Linked DNA regions of Oryctolagus cuniculus. The protein of the gene in region 2 interacts with the protein of the main gene of each other region in a pairwise test. Links are inferred from orthologs where the notes say so. Each region holds a gene or a part of one and is shown on either strand. Other genes may lie near its edges.

Region 1 (6,111 bases), on a different chromosome or scaffold from region 2:
TCCTTTGACCTATCACACACAGAGTAGTATATTATACACAATAAGGAATGCATTGTGCTTTTTTAAATGTAAGCTTTTTCTTTTGGAATAATTTACAGAAAAGATACAAAGATAGTATGGAGATTCTTATATACTGCTTATTCAGCTTCTAGTACTGTTCACATCTTACATAACTATAGTGCCAAATCAAAGCTAATAAATTAATACCACTACATTATTACTAACTGATACAATTCACTCATACTTCACTAGTTCTGTGCTTTCAGTTCTAGAATCCAATCCAGGATGCCACATTACCATGGGGCTTTTTTCACTTCAAAGGTATCTTGATGATTGTTTTTTATCAACTAATACGTAGTTGTCTATATGGAAGGACTACAGAATGAATTCATAGAAGTGGAACTGTTAAGGATTATGCACCTTTAAAAGTTACCAAACCTCACATCCTCAAAGAAATGACTAAATCCATCTAAATGGCCCACCTGTGATTTGAGTATTTTAAGTTCCTTTAAAGTTCTAAGAGCTGGACTGGGGAATTAATGAGTGGTAAAAATGGAAAATGCTTAAAAAATTTGGATACCTTAATTTGCTTTAAATGTACTGGAACATAGCATTGCATGACTTACATTATGCCAATACTCCACTGTATCGTGACCTACGTACAGTATATAGTTGACTCCTCGTAGGACCGCTAGGGGGCTCTGCTAGAAGGTTGTTTTTTTTTTTTTTTTTTTTTTTTTTTAATCGTCTACGTTAGTCCACTTAGGAAATGTTTTGAGAGGATCCTTGTAACTCTGAACTTCTAAAACTTGAAAGAGATCGTTAACTCTAGCTTTCTTATTTCACAGACGAGGAAACCAAAGCTGGCCAAAAGAGCAGGCAGGGGAGAAAATTGTAATAAGAAAATCTGCTCTTGCTTTTTGGGGCAGGAATTCAAGAAATTCCCTTTTGCCATGTGCCTCTGCCGAACTATTCATGTCCAACGGCTACTTCCTTTTTGGCTGCCACAATTGTCGTTATTTTTGCTAAATTCATGTGGCTGCCGTATTTTTGCAATAGGACATTTTGCTGATTGGGTTATGTGATTACGACCTTTAATCCCCATTCCAAAAGTTCTACTCATAAGAGTCCTTGGTGTCAAAACCGTCTTATTTACTGCAAGCGCTGTCGACCATGTCAAATAGCTTTTCAAACAGAGTATCCACCTCCACCATTTTCCTTTTTTTACACATTCAATATTGATTGAGTGCCTACTAGCGCCAGCCACCTTAGCAGGCTCTAGGCCCCAACACCATCCCTGTAAGGAGCTTCTGTTGGCCAGTGTTCACCTTAATGCGTAGACTTCCACAAGCCTGGCCCAGTGGTTCATCGTCAGCAGCAGCAGCAGAGGCAGGGAGTTTGTTAGGCACCTCCTTAGGCCCAGCCTACATTCTTTTTTTTTTTTTTTTGACAGGCAGAGTGGACAGTGAGAGAGAGAGACAGAGAGAAAGGTCTTCCTTTGCCGTTGGTTCACCCTCCAATGGCCGCCGCGGCCGGCGCGCTGCGGCCGGCGCACCGCGCTGATCCGGTGGCAGGAGCCAGGAGCCAGGTGCTTTTCCTGGTCTCCCATGGGGTGCAGGGCCCAAGTACTTGGGCCATCCTCCACTGCACTCCCTGGCCACAGCAGAGGGCTGGCCTAGAAGAGGGGCAACCGGGACAGAATCCGGCGTCCCGACCGGGACTAGAACCCGGTGTGCCGGCGCCGCAAGGTGGAGGATTAGCCTAGTGAGCCGCGGCGTCGGCCCCAGCCTACATTCTAAAGACGAGGCTCACCAATACGATTAAAAAAAAAAAAGAAGAAAAGAAAAAAACTTCCAGGGGTTTTGATGAACACTCAAGTTTGAAAACCAAGGTTTTAGTTCCACAGATTAGCGGTCAGTATCTGGTTTCTAAACCCACTTCAGATCTTTCCAGGGGAAACCTATCTCAAATAGAAGCAATGGGCTCCAACAATAGCCGCCCTGAGTTTAATGACGGGTAGTCCCTCAGATGATCATTGTTAAGAGTGGCAGTCATGCTCTGCCCTCCTCTCCCCCCCACAAAGAAAAAAACCATAAAAAAAAAAAAAAAACCAGCAAAAAAACCCAAGCCACCGCGGTGGCTTTTCTGGGGCTGTCCTAACCGACCCTGGGCCGACCGGGGCCGCGCTTTCACACAGACTCGGCGGGCACACGCAGCCCGGATCCGGCTGAGTCAGGGCGACGCTCAGGCCGCGTGGGGCCGCAGGAAGCCCTCAGCCGGGCTCGGGCCTCCATGCAGAGGCCAGGGGCCGGCAGCCCCGCCAGTACCACACTGGGGGTCGTCCAAGCGAGGCGCGGGTGGGGGGAAGCAGGGGCGCAGCGGCGAATCCGAGAGGCCGAGGCAGGGATGGCCAGCGCGGAAGCCGCACCCGCCCGGCCCCAGACGCCGGCAGGGCGGAGTCACGCGTCCGCAGCTCCGGCTGAGACGCGCGGCGCGGCGCGGGCTCGTGGCTGAGGCGTATGGGGCTACAACGGGAGCGGCTGCGCCGCCCGGCCGGGTCGGTGTCGTGCGCATGCGCGGGTCCGGCGCCATTTTGGTGGCCGGGCGCGGAGGTGATTCCACAGAGCAGAGCCCGGCGGCCGGGGTGGCAGCGGCGGTGTTCGTGTGCTGGGATCTGAATCTCCGAGGGAGGAGGCGGTGGAGGAAGAGGTGGCGGCGGTGGCGGTGGTCGTAGCGGTGGCGGAGGAGGCGGGTACGAATCAGCTGCGGGCGGAGACATGGCCAACATCGCGGTGCAGCGAATCAAGCGGGAGTTCAAGGAGGTGCTGAAGAGCGAGGAGGTCAGAAATGAACTCCCGGACATTCCCCCACCAAGGCCCAGGGCGGGCGGGCCCTCCCAGCGGCGACCCCGATATCCCCGGTGGCCCTCCCCGCGGCCGCCCTTTTGCCTGTGGGGAAGCGGCCGTCTCCCCCTCCTCCTCCCGCCGCCTTCCCCTCCCTTCTAGGGCCCTGGGGTGGACGGCTCGCGGGCGGGTGGTCTGGGGAGGAGTACGGTTTGGGGGGGGGCGGATGAAGAGGGGTGCACTCCGCGGCGGGGTACGAGCTCTCTCTCCCGAGCCTCGAGGCGGTGGCAGCAGCTGGAAGTGTGGCTGTGGGGTGTGGGAAGGCAGCAAGGCCGGGCCTGAGAAAACCCGGGAAGTGGGTTGGGGGAAGGGGAAAGGTGGTAACTGGATCCGGAGAGCAGCGCTGCTCCAAGGCCCACACTCTGAAGGGTCTTGGGGTTGTTGCCTGTTAGGCCTTTGCTGTCCGTTCCGAAGGCGAGGAGCGATGAGAGCCCTGAGGTGCTGGGGGAAGGAGAAGGACATGCAGAGGTATTCCCTCCTAGTTAGGCGTGGGGAGACAGGAAAGGCATAATGGGATACTAGCTTGTTTGGGGGATGGGATAAAGGAATTTTCACCTGAGATAGGGAATTAATTCCAAATGAGATCTTTATCTCCTTTCCACGTGCCCCCCAGTTCCTAGGCCTCTTTATTGACATCTAGTGCTTTTTAACGGGGCAGAGGCTAGGTAGTGTATTAAAGATATTTACATATTTTTAGCTAAGGAAAAAATAGTGAATGAGTAGCTTATTTGAGAACATTATTTACAGGTTACATATCAGACTGTCTCAAGACAATGCCTCTGTGACTCGTGTTGGGCCATGAAACTCCATTATGATGTCCCTCATGGTTAAAACTTGTGTCTTTTAAAAATAGACCCATTAAAAACAAAGGATTTCACCCTGTTAATACATTGTTGTCTCTTAATTGAGTAGGTTTAACTCAATATACATCTCTTGACATAGCATATTCTTTATTTTTAAATTGTCTTTTTCTGCCGTTGAGTCCTGCAGAATTTAGATGCCTTACTTCTGACCACATTTACTTATGTAAGGTATTTAAAATGTCCTAGTAATTCTGACTCGAAACTCTGCAAGTGTCAGTACAGTTTGTCATAACTACTGAAAATTACTATTTTCGAGATCCACACCCATGTCATTATTGAATATATCATTGCTATTTGTGTCTTTTCTAATTGTTGCTTTGATAATGTCAATAAAGATTTGTGACACTCAGCCTTCCCAGGATGTGATGAGTAATTGACATAGTCTAATAGCACTTAAGCTTTATTTGTGTCATTGAATCTACTGTGATTTCATCTTTCCATACATCAGATGTGGAGAAAATCATTATAAAATTCAAAAATGACAAATACTAGCAGATCTATTGACTATAGTAGTACGTAAGTCATGATCAGCTCTACAGAGCATGTGTATGAACTCTGACCTTTGTGTTCGTTCATATGCCAAAACTCTGAATGGAAGGATGACTTTGTATTTTTTGTGGTACAATGCAGAATAGAGTCATTAATGTCTGGAGAGTGTGCAGTGAAACAGTGGTACTAACTTTCTATTTAGTAATGATAAGAAAGATGTATTCCAGGGTAGTTGATGTATATATTCCTAATGAAGAATTGCGGCTAATATTGTTGCTAACATCCTAAAACATTTCCTTTATAATAAGGGTGTACAAGCCTGAAACTTAATGAACTAATAGTTGTGGTGTTTTTTTTTTTTTTTTGTATTATTTAAAAGTGGTAAGTTACTGCTTCAGGTAATTCACGTGATCTTTTTGCTTTATGTGAGGTGACTTTATCATTGTATTCTTAAGGACTTAAGTTGAGGATTACCAGAAATACTTGTATTACCCTAGAAGTGCATATTGTTAAAATAATCTTTTTTTTTTTTTTTAAATGTAAGGGCTACTAGAGCCTTACTTTTAAAAGTGTCATAGTATTTTAGAGAAAGCAAGCAGGAAATACAAACAAAATTATTTTTAAAGTACCTTTATAAATCTGGAAGGAAACTGCTTCGGAGAAAGTGAGTTGCGAAGAACCTTTAGTTAAGGTCAAGCAGTTTAATCTTGAAATAAATATAACTAATAAACAGCTTTATTTTCATCAATATTTTAGTGGGCCCAGTTATATAAGTAGATTATGTTGATTATTTTCAGCTTATTGAAGGACTGGTGTTCTTTGTAAGGGTATAAATGCAGTATTTTGAATGGCCGATCAGTAATAAGTTATTTCGTCATGTCACGTTATGTGAATCTCTGGTTTACTGAAGTTTATTTCCTGTTCTTGTGTTTACTAAAACTAGTGGTTGATTTAAAGACCCCCCCTTTTTTGGGGAGCCCTTTTGTGTCTTTGTGAAGATAGCTAATGTCACAAGAGGTTATACACAACTATTAGAATATGTATTTGTGCAGGTGAAAGCATCATGAGAAATTGGTAAAAGTAGCTTCTTTTGTGTAGGGGGGTTGGGTGTATAGGGTATGAAGAGATCTGTTCAGACTAAATAAAATACATAAAGGCACCATCTAAGCCTGTTTTCCTTAGGACAGTGTTAGAAATCCATCTTGTAGCTGTTGGAAACTATTTTCTAAAATTGAGTTTTAGGTAATAATTCAAAGTTGTCTGGATTGGTGCATTTTGTAGTTATGAGTTCAGTTGTTGAGATGATTAGGTGAATTGTTGATTGTGATGTTATAAAACCATTCTATTTTATTCAAAAGTTGTATTATTTACCGTCAATTATTACTGGTATTAACAGCTGCCATTTGTAGCCATTTGCTTATACACTGTTGTTAATTCTTAAACACAAATCTTTGAATTTAGATTTCTGAGATGAGAAAATTGAGATCCAGGAGAAGTAAAATTATTTGCGAACATACAGCTTTGGGATTTGGATCTAGGTCTGCTTGTGTTTGTGTTGTACCACATTGTCATGGCTTGTGAAGATAGGCATGCTATTAATTATTTAAAATAATTGAGCTGGGTTTGCATTGCTAGTTAAAGGATTTAAACGCAACCTAATTTGTTAGTTTAAACTCACTGAAATAAGTGTTACCTCTAATTAACGTAAAAGTTTTTAAGCTTTGGAGCTTTTGTGAATTAAAAGCTCTCAATTGAATGCATCTACTCTTGTTTTTATGCTAAATGGTGTCTGTAGTTTTTTCACATTGTAGCTGCATGTTGGTAATGTTTTTAATAGTTTCCTAGAGAATGCTTAA
Region 2 (5,962 bases):
ATTCCACGTCTCTCTCTCTCTGCCTCTCCTCTCTGTGTAACTCTTTCAAATAAATAAATAAATCTAAAATAAATAAATAAATAAATAAAAGAACTCCAGAGAACCACTCTATGGGTGCAAATCGCAGCTCCGTCAACTATCAAGGTATGATTTGATAGAATACACATTAACAGCTAACCCATGAACATAGTACAGTTTGGTTAGTTGTCTCAATATTATCCATTATAGTTATTCCAGTTTAGAATAACACCTCACACTTTCCTGTCATGATTCTTAATTCTCCTTTAAACTGGGGCAGTCCCTCAGTTTTCCATTTCACTGACAGTTATTTTGTAGTGTCCCTCGATTTGGATGTATTTGATGCCTATTCATGCGATTTGGACTATGCACGTTTCACAGAGATACCACAGAACATACGTTGTGTCCTTCTAAGTATGCTAAAGTAGCAAGGTAGACATAAGCGTATGTGTGCAAGAGGGGCCAAAGAAAATGGAATTTTTAAAGAAAATGAATTTATGTGCAATGGAATGAGGAGATAAGCTCTGAAAGCAGACCAACAATCACACCTAAAGTAATCACTCTTGTTCAATAACTCCGTTAGATGGGTTTCAGGGCCAGCACCGAGCTCAATAGGCTAATCCTCCACCCAGCGGCGCCGGCACACTGGGTTCTAGTCCCGGTCAGGGCGCCGGATTCTTTCCCGGTTGCCCCTCTTCCAGGCCAGCTCTCTGCTATGACCAGGGAGTGCAGTGGAGGATGGCCCAAGTGCTTGGGCCCTGCACCCCAGGGGAGACCAGGAGAAGCACCTGGCTCCTGGCTTCGGATCAGCGCAGTGCGCTGGCCACAGCGTGCCAGCCATGGCGGCCATTAGAGGGTGAACCAACGGCAAAGGAAGACCTTTCTCTCTGTCTCTCTCACTATCCACTCTGCCTGTCAAAAATAAAAAAATAAAAATAAAAAAAGAGTATGTAGAGATAAAAAAAAAAAAAAAAAAGATGGGTTTCAGCCCTGTCCCTGGGTGCCGCTTAGGGGAATCTCCCCTGCCCTGCACCAACAGGGCTATTAGGTCCAATAATACTGTGCTGGGAGGCTTTTTGGAAACTCCATATCCAGCCAACTCCCCTACCCAGTAATTTCTCATCAGAGGGAGGAGAGGAAGAGAAATAGGTGGATCCACACTTATATCCATAAAAAAATCCAGTTCAAAATGGACTAGACACTCAATTCTTTTCTGAGTCACCTGCCTGGTCTGAGTCTCCCATCTGTGTAGCAGGGACCCAACCACCTCCAGCCATGACCTGCTGCCTCCCAGTCAACATTAGTAGGAAGCCGGAGTCAGGAGTAGTGCCGGGATTCAAACCCACTCTGAAGTGCATGCAGGTGTTCCAAGAGATATCTCATCCACAAGGCGGACACTATTACTGTGTAAATACCCTGCTTCCCTTACTTCGCCATTCATTATTGCTATTCTAAATCCAACATGTTTAGTCATCGGTATTCTGCTGAAAGGAAGAGTTTCTTTCTCTCCAATTATTTGTTCACATATTTACTTTAGTAAAGACTCATGGAGTATTATTCACTTAGTTATACTCTACTACTTTTTTTTTAATAAGTTGTGTCTTTTTAAAAGATTTATTTATTTATTTAATATTTAAAAGGCAGAGTTACACAAAGAGAGAGGAGAGGCAGAGACAGAGGGGTCTTCCATCTGCTGGTTCACTCCCCAATTGGCCGCAATGGCTGGAGCTGCGCCAATCCGAAGCCAGGAGCCAGGAGCTTTCTCTGGGTCCCACGCGCAGATGCAGGGTGCTTTCCGGCAATAACAGAGAGCTGGACTGGAAGTAGAGCAACCGGGTCTCGAACCGGCACCCATATGGGATGCCAGCACTTCCGGCCAGGGCTTTGACCCGCGGCGCCACAGCGTCGCCATCGCCCCCCACCCCCCATCATTCTTATTAGCATCATCCTTACATGCTGGTACAACAAGATGTTCCAGGTTTATCCGATACTTTCCGAAACAACTTTTCCTTCAAGCAGCCCCAACCCCCAGCTCCCCTGAAAAACCGCCTCCTGCCGGCAAGCGGAACCTTAAAGCCCCTCTCCTGGGCCGGAGAACAACGCGGCGGACAAGCCTTTTCCGGTTAGGGCCGGAAGTCCTTCGGAAAGGGGCGGTTCCGTGTCAGGTGATCAGAGTTCGCGTAGGAGGGGTCAGAGGTCCGATCCTAAAGACTGACGGGGCGGTAGGACCGGCCAGTCGCGGACAGACCGACAGCCTGGCACGGCCTTGGAGGCGATAGCTCCGCGGAGGAGGTACGAGAGGGGCTGGGGAAGCTGCAGGGGCCGTCGAGAATGGGGGACGGGGACGGGAGCCCCAATTCTGAGGCTCGCGGGCTGCGACACCCGAACCCGGGGGCCCAAGCCCAAGCCCGGGGTTCTCCGCCGCAGAAGGAAGGTCGGCTGGCGTTGTAGTGTTCCGTCTCCTGATCACAGGGTGGGGAAACTGAGGCCTTGAGAACGGGAATTGCTCCCATGAGTTCTTTCCGGCCCGGGCCGGGAGCGGGGGGCGCACCCTGACCCCTTTCTGCCTCACGCGGGGCCGCCTCTGTCTCTTGTCGGGGTGCGTGGAGCGAGCTGGAGCCGAGGCGGGAAGGCCGAGACCGCGGAGCGTGAGGAACCGCACTGGGCTGAAAGAGACTCGGGTTCGAGTTCTGGGCCAGATGTCTTCGCTGGACTGCGCCTCAGCCTTCTCATTTGTAAAATGGGGGCAGTGTGCCCCCAGATATGGTCCTTAGCACCTTGTGTTTTGAAACCGCCTGGGATGCCGGCTTGACAGTTCCGGACTCGAATCGGACATCTGGCTTGGAGTCTGGGCGGGAACCTGGGGAGCCTAAGGCTTGCGAGTCCTGTCCACACGGCTGTTTGGCGCCGGTTCATTCTCTGCGCCTGGCTGCGCGGAGTGCTGGGTCCTTGTTCCTGGCTTGACAGCAACTGAAGGCAGTTCGGGAACTTTGAACGGACTGGGCGGTTTAACGTGGACAAGAGAGCACTCGCTAGAACAGAGCTGTCTTTAAAAACCGGAGGGGGAAAAAAAAAAGTTAGGGTGAAGTGGGCTTCTGCTTTGTCTTTAAGGCAGAATTAGGAGCGGGCAGTAGGTGGATTCTACAGAAAGATTTTTACTTGGGAGAGTGGTCAGAGATGACCAGCGGTAGAATGGATTGGCTGCAAGGGTTGCAGGGAACATACAGGTGTTGGGCAGAAGTCCCTTCCAAGATCTCTGATTCTGAGTAGTTATTTTGCAGCTTTCTGGTGCTGACTCAGCCCCCGAAGTGTGACTTTTTATTTTATTATTATTATTTGCTCTGCTCTTGACATCCCCCCCTGCAGTAAGTGAGGCCGACACGCCTGCCCTTATGTAATCTCTTCCTGGTTGGCCTGTGCACCATCCTTCTTTTCGAGGACTTTGGAATGACCCAGTATCTGATAGATGTTTGTTATGAATAACTAAACAGGGTCCCACCCCATCCAGTTAGTAGCTTATTTTTTAAGAACAACTTGGAAATGGCACTGAAGACCTTGTATTTGACCAGGAGAAGGCAGTGAGTTTTTGGGTCACAGAGCCGAGGGGCCGAGAGTGGAAAGGTCTCTTCAGGTTGTTTAGGCCAGCCTTCTCCCTGGAATATTCTCCCTCTTTAATTCTCTCTTCAGCATTGTCTATATAGACGTGGATTTTTGCATGGAGGGTAGCTTTAAATTTTTTTTTTTTTAGATTTATTTGTTTATTTGAACTGCAGAATGACAGAGTATGCACGAGCAAGGTCAAGATGTATTTTCCACCCACTGATTTCACTCCCCAAATGGCCACAAGAGTCAGGACTGAGCCAGGCGGAAGCCGCGAGCCAGGAGCTCCATGTAGGTGGCAGGGGCCCAGGCACTTGGGCCACCATCTGTTGCCTTCCCAGGTGCATTAGCAGGGAGCTGGATTGGAAGTGGAGCAGCCAGGACCCAGTGTGAGATGCTGGCGTCTCAAGCAGCGGCTTAGCCCACTGCAGCGCCACGCTGGCCCTATAGGCTGGCTTTCTGTCCAGTAGGTAGAACCATCCTTTTATTGCCCTGACTTGCCATCCCACCTCCCTGTAATCTGCACGTGATGCTTCTCGCTTATTTTTAGTTTTCTAATCAAACATCAGATTTCCTCACCTTGTGGCTTTACCCAACTCCAAGTAGATCACTTTTCCAATGCCTGTTTCGAAACGCTTATGTTGTCTTATGGAGCACAGATTCCATATTATGACCAAATTCTGCTGTTGCTCCCCTCAACCCCCAAACAAAAAGGGTTGAAGTTGAGCCAAAACCTGCCCTTGTTTATCCTTATGTTTGTGTTTCTCAAGATTAAAAAAAAAAAAAAAAAAAGTTGTGAAATGCTGTCTCAGATGTTATCCAGGTGATAGGTACAATACTCTTTTTTTTTTTTTTTTAAAGATTTGTTTACTTATTTGAAAGGCAGAGCTACACAGAGAGAAAGAGAGACAGAGATTGTCCTAGCTGGTTCACTCCCTAAATGGCTGCAGTGGCCAGGGCTGGATCAGGCCAAAGCCAGGAGCTTCATCTGGGTCTTCCACATGGGTGCAGGGGTCCAAGTACTTGGGCTGTCTTCTGCTGCTTTCCCGGGTGTGTTAGCAGGGAGCTGGATTGGAAGTAGAGCAACCGGGACTTGAACTGGTGCCCATATGGGATGCCAGCACTGCAGGCAGCAGCTAATCCACTTTGCCACAATGCCAACTCCAAAATACTCCTTTTTTTTTTTTTTTAAGATTTATTTATTATTTAAAAGTCAGAGTTACACAGAGAAGCATGGGGAGGGAGGGGTCTTTCATCTGCTGGTTCACTCCCTAATTGGCCGCAACAGCCGGAGCTGGGCCGATCCGAAGCCAGGAGCCAGGAGCTTCTTCCAGATCTCCCACGTGGGTAGCAGGGGCCCAAGGACTTGGGTTATCCTCTACTGCTTTCCAGGCCATAGCAGAGAGCTGGATCAGAAGTGGAGCAGCTGGGACTTGAACTGGTGCCCATATGATATGCCAGCACTATAGGTGGCGGCCTTACCTGCTACTCCACAGCGCCAGCCCCCTGAAATACTCTTGATTTGTTGGAGTTTTTAGAACATCTCATTTCCTTTTAGAGAAGTACGTGAATTAGTGTTTTTGTAAGGGTGTTCTTCAGGCTACTGGTCTGAAGGAGTGTTTCTGAATAAAGGGTTCGAAGGCGAAAATAAGTTTGGGGAAAATGACATGACATTCGTATCAGTCGGCTTTAAGTGACTACAGTAAAAACCTGGAGAGAAAACTGCTTAGGAAGGAGAGTTCACTTTGGCTCCTGGTTCTGGAAGTTCACAGTCCAAGACTGAGGCTCTGTTGATTTGGCCTGTGATTAGGCCACTTGGCAGCAGCAGAGCCTTGTGGAGGAAGGATCATGGCAAGCCAGAGAGCAGACAGGCTGTGTCCCACTAGGCTTTACAACCAACCCTCTCTCCAGAGTTACCTTCTCGGGGCTGGCATTGTGGTGCAGTGGGTTAAGCTGCCACCTGTGATGCCAGAACCCCATACTTGAGCCTGTTCAAGTTCTGTCTGTTCCTCTTCTGATCCAGCTTCCTGCTAATGTGCATGGGAAGGCAGCAGACAATGGTCGAGTGCTTGGGCCCCTGCCACCCACATGGGAGATCGGATAGAGCTCCAGGCTCCTGACCTTGGCCAGTTGTAATCATTTGGGGATTGATCCAGTGCATGGGAGATCTCTCTCTCTTTAAAGAATTATTTTTTATTTATTTGAAACACAGTTAACATAGAGAAGGAGAAGCAGAGAGAGAGAGAGGTCTTCCATCCTCTGGTTCACTCCCTAGATGGCCGCAATGGCCGAAGCTGCGCCGATCCAAGCCAGGAGCCAGGAGCCTCTTCCAGGTCTCTCACAG
Region 3 (5,904 bases), on a different chromosome or scaffold from region 2:
GGTGCAGCACAAAACTGGCCCCAGCCAATCTTCTCTCCTAACAAAGGTGCGGTTTAACTATTTTTAAACTTTCCTGCATGGCCCACGGGGGGCAGGGGCCTCAGCTGTGGCCTTCCCAGCTGCACGCTGGCAGGAAGCGGGAGTCAGAAGCCGATCCAGGACCCTTACAGGCCCCGCGACACGGAATGTGTGTCTTGACCCATGTGCCACACGGCAGCCCCGGGAGGCAGGATGTCGGTGGTCGCTGACAAGTGACCACGTAGGATTAAATTCTGAATTCTCATTTGTGTTGTTTTGAAGGTTTATTTATTTCAAAAGGGAGAAGAGACAGAGAAAGAGGTCTTCCATCCACTGCTTCACTCCCCAGATGGCCACAAAAGCCAGGGCTGGGTCACATGGGTGGCAGGGAGCTGGACGGGAAGTGGAGCAGCCGGGACTTGACCCGGCGCCACGTGGGATGCTGGTGTCAGGTGGGGGCTCCACCCTCCGCGCCACAGCACTGGCAACGCGTCCTTCCAGTCCTCACACTGACTTCTGCACCCCAGATTCACTCGGAGCCCAGACAGCAGTAGTGAGTGATCTGGGCAAGAGGTAGGGTCAGAGACGACCACAGCGAGCACCCGACACCACGCTCCGGGCTGTGCAGCGCGGACGAGCCGCGGCGCTGGGCCTGGGAGGCGCAGACCTGAGCCCGGCTCGGCCTGAGGTGGAGCCGCCCACTGCGCAGGCGCTCCGCGCCCAGAACTCAGGCCAGAGGCCACCGCGTGCGCTCTGCACAGAACCACGCTGAGCCAGGCCGCTTCTCCTCCGGGTTTTATTGACCATCACGGCTCCATCGCTCTCCGCGATCCAGCTCTAAGCGCGGTTCCCGTACCCCTCGCGGTCCGGGTCCCGCGCCCTCGCCCACTCCCTTCCATAGAAGTCTTTCTGCGTTGCTGGTTCCCCACAAACCCGGAACCTGCGACTCCCTCGGGTTCCCACACAAAGAGCTTCTTCCTCCACGTCCTCGCCGGCCCCGCCCACACGGCCGGTCACAGCCGGCTGGCGCGGGATGCGGAGACATTCACAGAGAGGAGACAGACCCCTCCCACCCGCAGCTCACTCCCCAGACACCCGCAACAGCAGGAGCTCCATCTGGGCCTCGCACACGGGCGGCCGGGGGCCAGGTCCTGGGGCCCCCACCTGCCGGCCCTGCAGAGCGCGGTGCGCGGGGGGCAGAGCGGCGCCCGCCCCAGTGCGTCCGTTCCTGCGCACGGCTCCCCGTCGGGTCCTGGGGCGCCCACGCGCGCGGCCGATGGGGGGGGGTCGCCCGGGTCAAGAACGCACAGGACGCCTCCACAGTACTTTTCCAGCTTCTATTGCAAAGTAAACACAAGACACAAGCGGGGACGTCCGTCATGCAAACAGGAGGCCAGGTCCACGCACGGGACGAGTCCGACGTCTTCGGCTCGGGGGTCGCGCTCCCGGGCACGGCGCCGCGGGGCTTCACCGCGCGGCCTCCGCCTCGCTCGCGGCGAGCCGGTCTCTCCTCGCCCGCTGCAGCACCTGCTCCTCCCACAGCGCCTGGTCCACCTGCTCCGCGGTCAGCACCACGGGCAGGTACTTCTCGTCGAACAGCCGCTCGTTGGCCTCGGAGCGCAGCTGCTGCGGCCCGACCACGCGCAGGTGCGCGGGCAGGTGCGCGAACTCCTCGTCGTTGACGTCGCAGTCGCGCATCCGAGCGCCCAGCACCCACCAGCGGCCCACGAAACCCACGTCCAGGACCCGGCCCGGGAAGTCGGCCCAGCGGGGCTGCAGGTAGCGGCAGCGAGCCTGGTAGAGGCTGGCCTGGGGGTCGCAGGGCGCCTCGTACACCAGCGAGCAGAGCCCCAGGTTCACGTGGCGCAGGCGCCCGCGGCCCCGAAGCCACAGCAGCCGCTGCACGAAGCCCTCGGCAGGCCGGCTGCGCGTGGCCGGCGCCAGCAGCAGCAGAGTCCCCGACGCGTCGAGCAGCGCCTCCTCGAATGCCGCCTCGCTGGGCGCCAGCGAGCAGCAAGCCGCCGCGCCGCCCAGCAGCGCCGCCCACGCCGCCGCTCGCCCCGGCCGCGCCCGCGCCGCCGCCGCCGCGTCCCGGCAGGCTTCGGCGTAGTCCCTGAGCAGCGCGCGGGCCCAGGCGCCTGGGAGGAAACACGCGCCATCAGAACCGTCCGGGTACGCTGCGGACACCCCCACCGCCGCCTTCCGCCCCTACTTACCCAGCCGCGCCCACACGCCGGGCTTGGCAGCCGCCGCGTCTCCCGCTTCTCGGCGTCCTCGGGCCCAAAACCTCTTCAGAGCGGTCGCCGCCATCCTCTTCCGGTCTGAGGTCCGTTCTCCGGAAGGAAACACCCGGCATCCGAAATAAAAGCTCCGGGCAGTGCCTTCTGCGCACGCGCCCACGCTACCGGACGTGGCTTCCCGCCGGAAGAGTATAGAGAACAGACCGGCGCCGGATGTTGCTGTCCGGAGCGACCCGGCTCGCTTCGAGGGTGGGCGGGCCGCGCAGGCGCACTTAGTCGCAGCCACGCCGGCCGAGGCAGCAGCAGGTGGGCAGGGCGGGGTCCACCTGTAGGGGCCAGGACGGCGAGTGTCAGCGCCCGTGGGTGCCGTTAGCCACTACGCAGTGCTTGGAGCCGGGGCACAGGCCCCGGGAAGGGAGCTCCGTCCTCAGAGCGGGATGCAGTGAGGACGCCCGGCGACCATGGCAGCGGCCGACGAGCTGGCCTTCCACGGTGAGTGCGGCCCGCGCGTGCCCGGCGCCCCCACTGCGGCCCCTGGCCGGGCAGCTTCCGGCTCAGAGTTAACCAGAATCCCAGACGGTGGTAAACCCTGACCCCGGATCTGAAACCCGACCCCCGCGTGAGACCCACCTCCATCCACCTCCACTCGTGCCCCGGGCCCGTGACGTCCCAGGACCCATCCCAGGACGAACCCTACATTGCAGCCCCGGGTTCGCCTAAGGGGACAGCTCTCTTCCCCGTGCCCCCAGACTGGCTCGGGGAAGACCACCGAGGTGGCCGCGCGGTACACCTGCGTCCCATGCGCCCTCCCCAGAGTTCGAGGAAGCCACCAATCTCCTGGCCGAGACCCCCGATGCCGCCACCACGAGCAAGAGTGACCAAGTGACCCCCCAGGGGCACGTGGCAGTGGCCATGGGCTCGAGCGGCAGCTACGGCGCCGAGGAAGAGGAGGAGGCGGAGGAGGAGGGCGGCGACAAGGCAGCGGTGAGTGGCCCAAGCGTGGCCCAAGCGCTCGTGTCCCCCAGGCTGTCGGGCAGGGACTGACGGTGTCGGGTGCAGCTCCTGCAGGAGAAGCCTCAGCCCGGATTCTGGACCTTCGGCTACTACCAGAGCTTCTTCGACGTGGACACTTGGCAGGTGAGGCTGGGGCTTGTCGCGCGCGGGGCTCAGTCCCGAGCTCTCAGGGCAAGGCCTCGGGCCGGGGAAGGGGGTGCCGGGGCAGCAAGGAGGAGGGGAGGAGTGGGCCAGCCAGGAGGTGATGAGAAACCAAGGCTGCAGAGCTGGGACCTGTTCAGGACGGCAGAGCTGGACAGAGGCGCAAAGGCCTGGGGCGGGGCTCCGGGAGGGAGCGCATCCGGAAGGGCCCAGGGCCTGGGGTGGGGACGCACCTGCTGCGCACGGTGGCGCTGCCCTGGGCAGGTGACAGGACCAGCGCTGAGCCGAGAAAGGGTCTGCAGATAAGCCCGGCCGGAAACCCAGGGGGAGAGCTGAGCTCTGCCAGGCGGGGTGGGGCAGGAGGCTGGCAGCACCTCGCGTCCTGACACGGGACTTGCCCCCAGGTCCTAGACCGCATCAAGGGCTCCCTGCTGCCGCGGCCCGGCCACAACTTCGTCCGGCACCGGCTGCGAAACCGGCCGGATCTCTACGGTGAGTTCGGTGGGTTGTGCGTCCAGCCCGTGTGGGCGGGGCAGGGCCATCCCTCGGAGCTTCCCTTCAGGACGGCAGAGCTGGACAGAGGGGTCACCCACCCGCGGACGCCCCCCACAGGCCCCTTCTGGATCTGCGCCACCCTGGCCTTCGTCCTTGCTGTCACTGGCAACCTGACCCTGGTGCTGGCCCAGCGGAGGGACCCCTCCATCCACTACAGCCCCCAGTTCCACAAAGGTGAGCAGGCTGGCAGGCCCAGCACCCGCAGGGCTGGGGTGCCGTGGGGCGCCGGGCGCGTGACCGCCTCCTCCTCCCCTCCCCCACAGTGACCGTGGCAGGCATCACCATCTACTGCTACGCGTGGCTCGTGCCGCTGGCGCTGTGGGGCTTCCTGCGGTGGCGCAAGGCCGTCCGGGAGCGCGTGGGGCCATACACCTTCCTGGAGACTGTGTGTGTCTACGGCTACTCCCTCTTCGTCTTCATCCCCACGGTGGTGAGAGTGGCCCCCAGAGGGGGTGCCGGGGGGTCTGCGGGGACTGCCTGGCACGGCCGCCGGCTGCCATCTTGTCCCCAGGTCCTGTGGCTCATCCCCGTGCCTTGGCTGCAGTGGATGCTGGGGGCGCTGGCCCTGGCGCTGTCGGCCGCCGGGCTGGTGTTCACCCTCTGGCCCGTGGTCCGGGAGGACAGCAGGCTGGCGGCCGCGGCGCTGCTGTCCACGGTGGTGCTGTTGCACACCCTGCTGGCCATGGGCTGTAAGGTACAGTGGGGCTGACCCGGGCGGGGCCGCGGGGCTGGGAGCCGGCCCGCCAGCCGCGGGGCTAACCCCGGGGGTCTCGGGTCAGCTGTACTTCTTCCAGCCGCTGCCCCCACAGCACGTGGCCGTGCCTCCCCATGCCACAGCTCTGGGCGTGAACACGCTGCTGCCGGCCACACCAGCCCAGGCCACGGCAACCTCTTAGGACCCCCGAGCCCGCAGGTGAGGAGCTGCTCCCGGCCAAGGCGGTGGGGGCCGGCCCCTGCCCCAGGCGAGACGCACAGGGGCTTCCCGGGGCTTCTCTTTCAGGCCGCACCAGGGGCCCCCAGATAGCGACCCAGGCCTCGCGGGACGCCTTGAGGGCCCTCCGCCACGTCCAGACTTTTCTTACAAAGCAAACACTTTTATTTTCTATGCAAAGGTGATTCAGAGAATTTATATAAAGGCGGTAGGGAGGGACAGCCGAGCAGGGAGCTTCCAGCGCAGGGCCAGGGGGGGCCTCGCCCCCGCCCCCGCCGGCCCCGCCCTCCCCCTCCCTGCCTCCCGAGGCCTCGGGCCTGGCTGTGCTCGGGGCCTCGACACGGGGACAAGTACAAGAAAACTGCCTGTGCTGACATCCATGTCCTGCTTGGTTTATTTTTTTCTTTCTTTTCTGTGTCTGGAGGGAGAGGTCCCTTCCCAGGCTGGGAGGGGCCGAAATGCCATCATGGTATAGGGACTGGAACGGCAACACAGGCCTAGGGTTAGCTAGAGGAAGAGGACGGGACGCCCCCCCCAGCCCCGGGGCGCAGCGCCAGGTGTCCGTGCCTGTCCCGGGGCGCTGGGACCTACCCTCCAGGCCACCGGTCTAGCACGGGGCGCGGGGCGGGGCGGGATGGGAGCAGCAGGAGGCGGGGGCTGCGGACGGAGCCTCCAGGCAGCCAGGGTGGGTTGTACATTCAAGTGTGAGGTGAACCCTTGGGTGAGGAGGGGGTCCCAGGGCCTGGCCCCACCCGGCCCTGAGGACCCTGCAGGGCCGCCCCCCCGCCCCGGCACCCCCCCCCCGCGCCCCGCCACTGAGCCTCTGAGTCCGAGGGGGGGACGGGGGCTGCTGGCTGGGCCCGGCCGGCCGGGTTTCTCAGAGGATCTGTGGATTGACACTGGTTCTTTTCGTAAAAAAATAAAATTAAAAAAAGCAGCATGTCACGCCCGTGGTGACCAAGGCCTGGGAGCTGAAGGGGGCCCCGCCCAGCCGGGCCGGGCGGC

Evidence for each region.
Region 1: the proteins of RNF185 (region 2) and UBE2K interact in binary tests that used the Homo sapiens proteins (3 or more experiments, as listed by UniProt). The link is inferred for Oryctolagus cuniculus from reciprocal best matches to the Homo sapiens genes RNF185 and UBE2K.
Region 3: the proteins of RNF185 (region 2) and YIPF2 interact in binary tests that used the Homo sapiens proteins (3 or more experiments, as listed by UniProt). The two-hybrid records come from large-scale screens. The link is inferred for Oryctolagus cuniculus from reciprocal best matches to the Homo sapiens genes RNF185 and YIPF2.

Annotation. Positions count from the first base shown.
Region 1 is NC_091433.1:33,547,856-33,553,966, forward strand, and holds the start of UBE2K (ubiquitin-conjugating enzyme E2 K), read left to right. Parts: upstream 1-2,705; 5' UTR 2,706-2,777; coding exon 2,778-2,840; intron 2,841-6,111. UniProt on the Homo sapiens protein: Accepts ubiquitin from the E1 complex and catalyzes its covalent attachment to other proteins. In vitro, in the presence or in the absence of BRCA1-BARD1 E3 ubiquitin-protein ligase complex, catalyzes the synthesis of 'Lys-48'-linked polyubiquitin chains.
Region 2 is NC_091452.1:24,310,193-24,316,154, forward strand, and holds the start of RNF185 (E3 ubiquitin-protein ligase RNF185), read left to right. Parts: upstream 1-2,153; 5' UTR 2,154-2,310; intron 2,311-5,962. UniProt on the Homo sapiens protein: E3 ubiquitin-protein ligase that regulates selective mitochondrial autophagy by mediating 'Lys-63'-linked polyubiquitination of BNIP1.
Region 3 is NC_091447.1:66,695,398-66,701,301, forward strand, and holds YIPF2 (protein YIPF2), read left to right. Parts: upstream 1-2,498; 5' UTR 2,499-2,719; coding exon 2,720-2,750; intron 2,751-3,072; coding exon 3,073-3,242; intron 3,243-3,317; coding exon 3,318-3,395; intron 3,396-3,817; coding exon 3,818-3,905; intron 3,906-4,025; coding exon 4,026-4,142; intron 4,143-4,231; coding exon 4,232-4,398; intron 4,399-4,479; coding exon 4,480-4,662; intron 4,663-4,747; coding exon 4,748-4,864; 3' UTR 4,865-4,881; intron 4,882-4,968; 3' UTR 4,969-5,438; downstream 5,439-5,904. Other genes in the region: SMARCA4 (transcription activator BRG1), read right to left, coding at 2,235-2,374.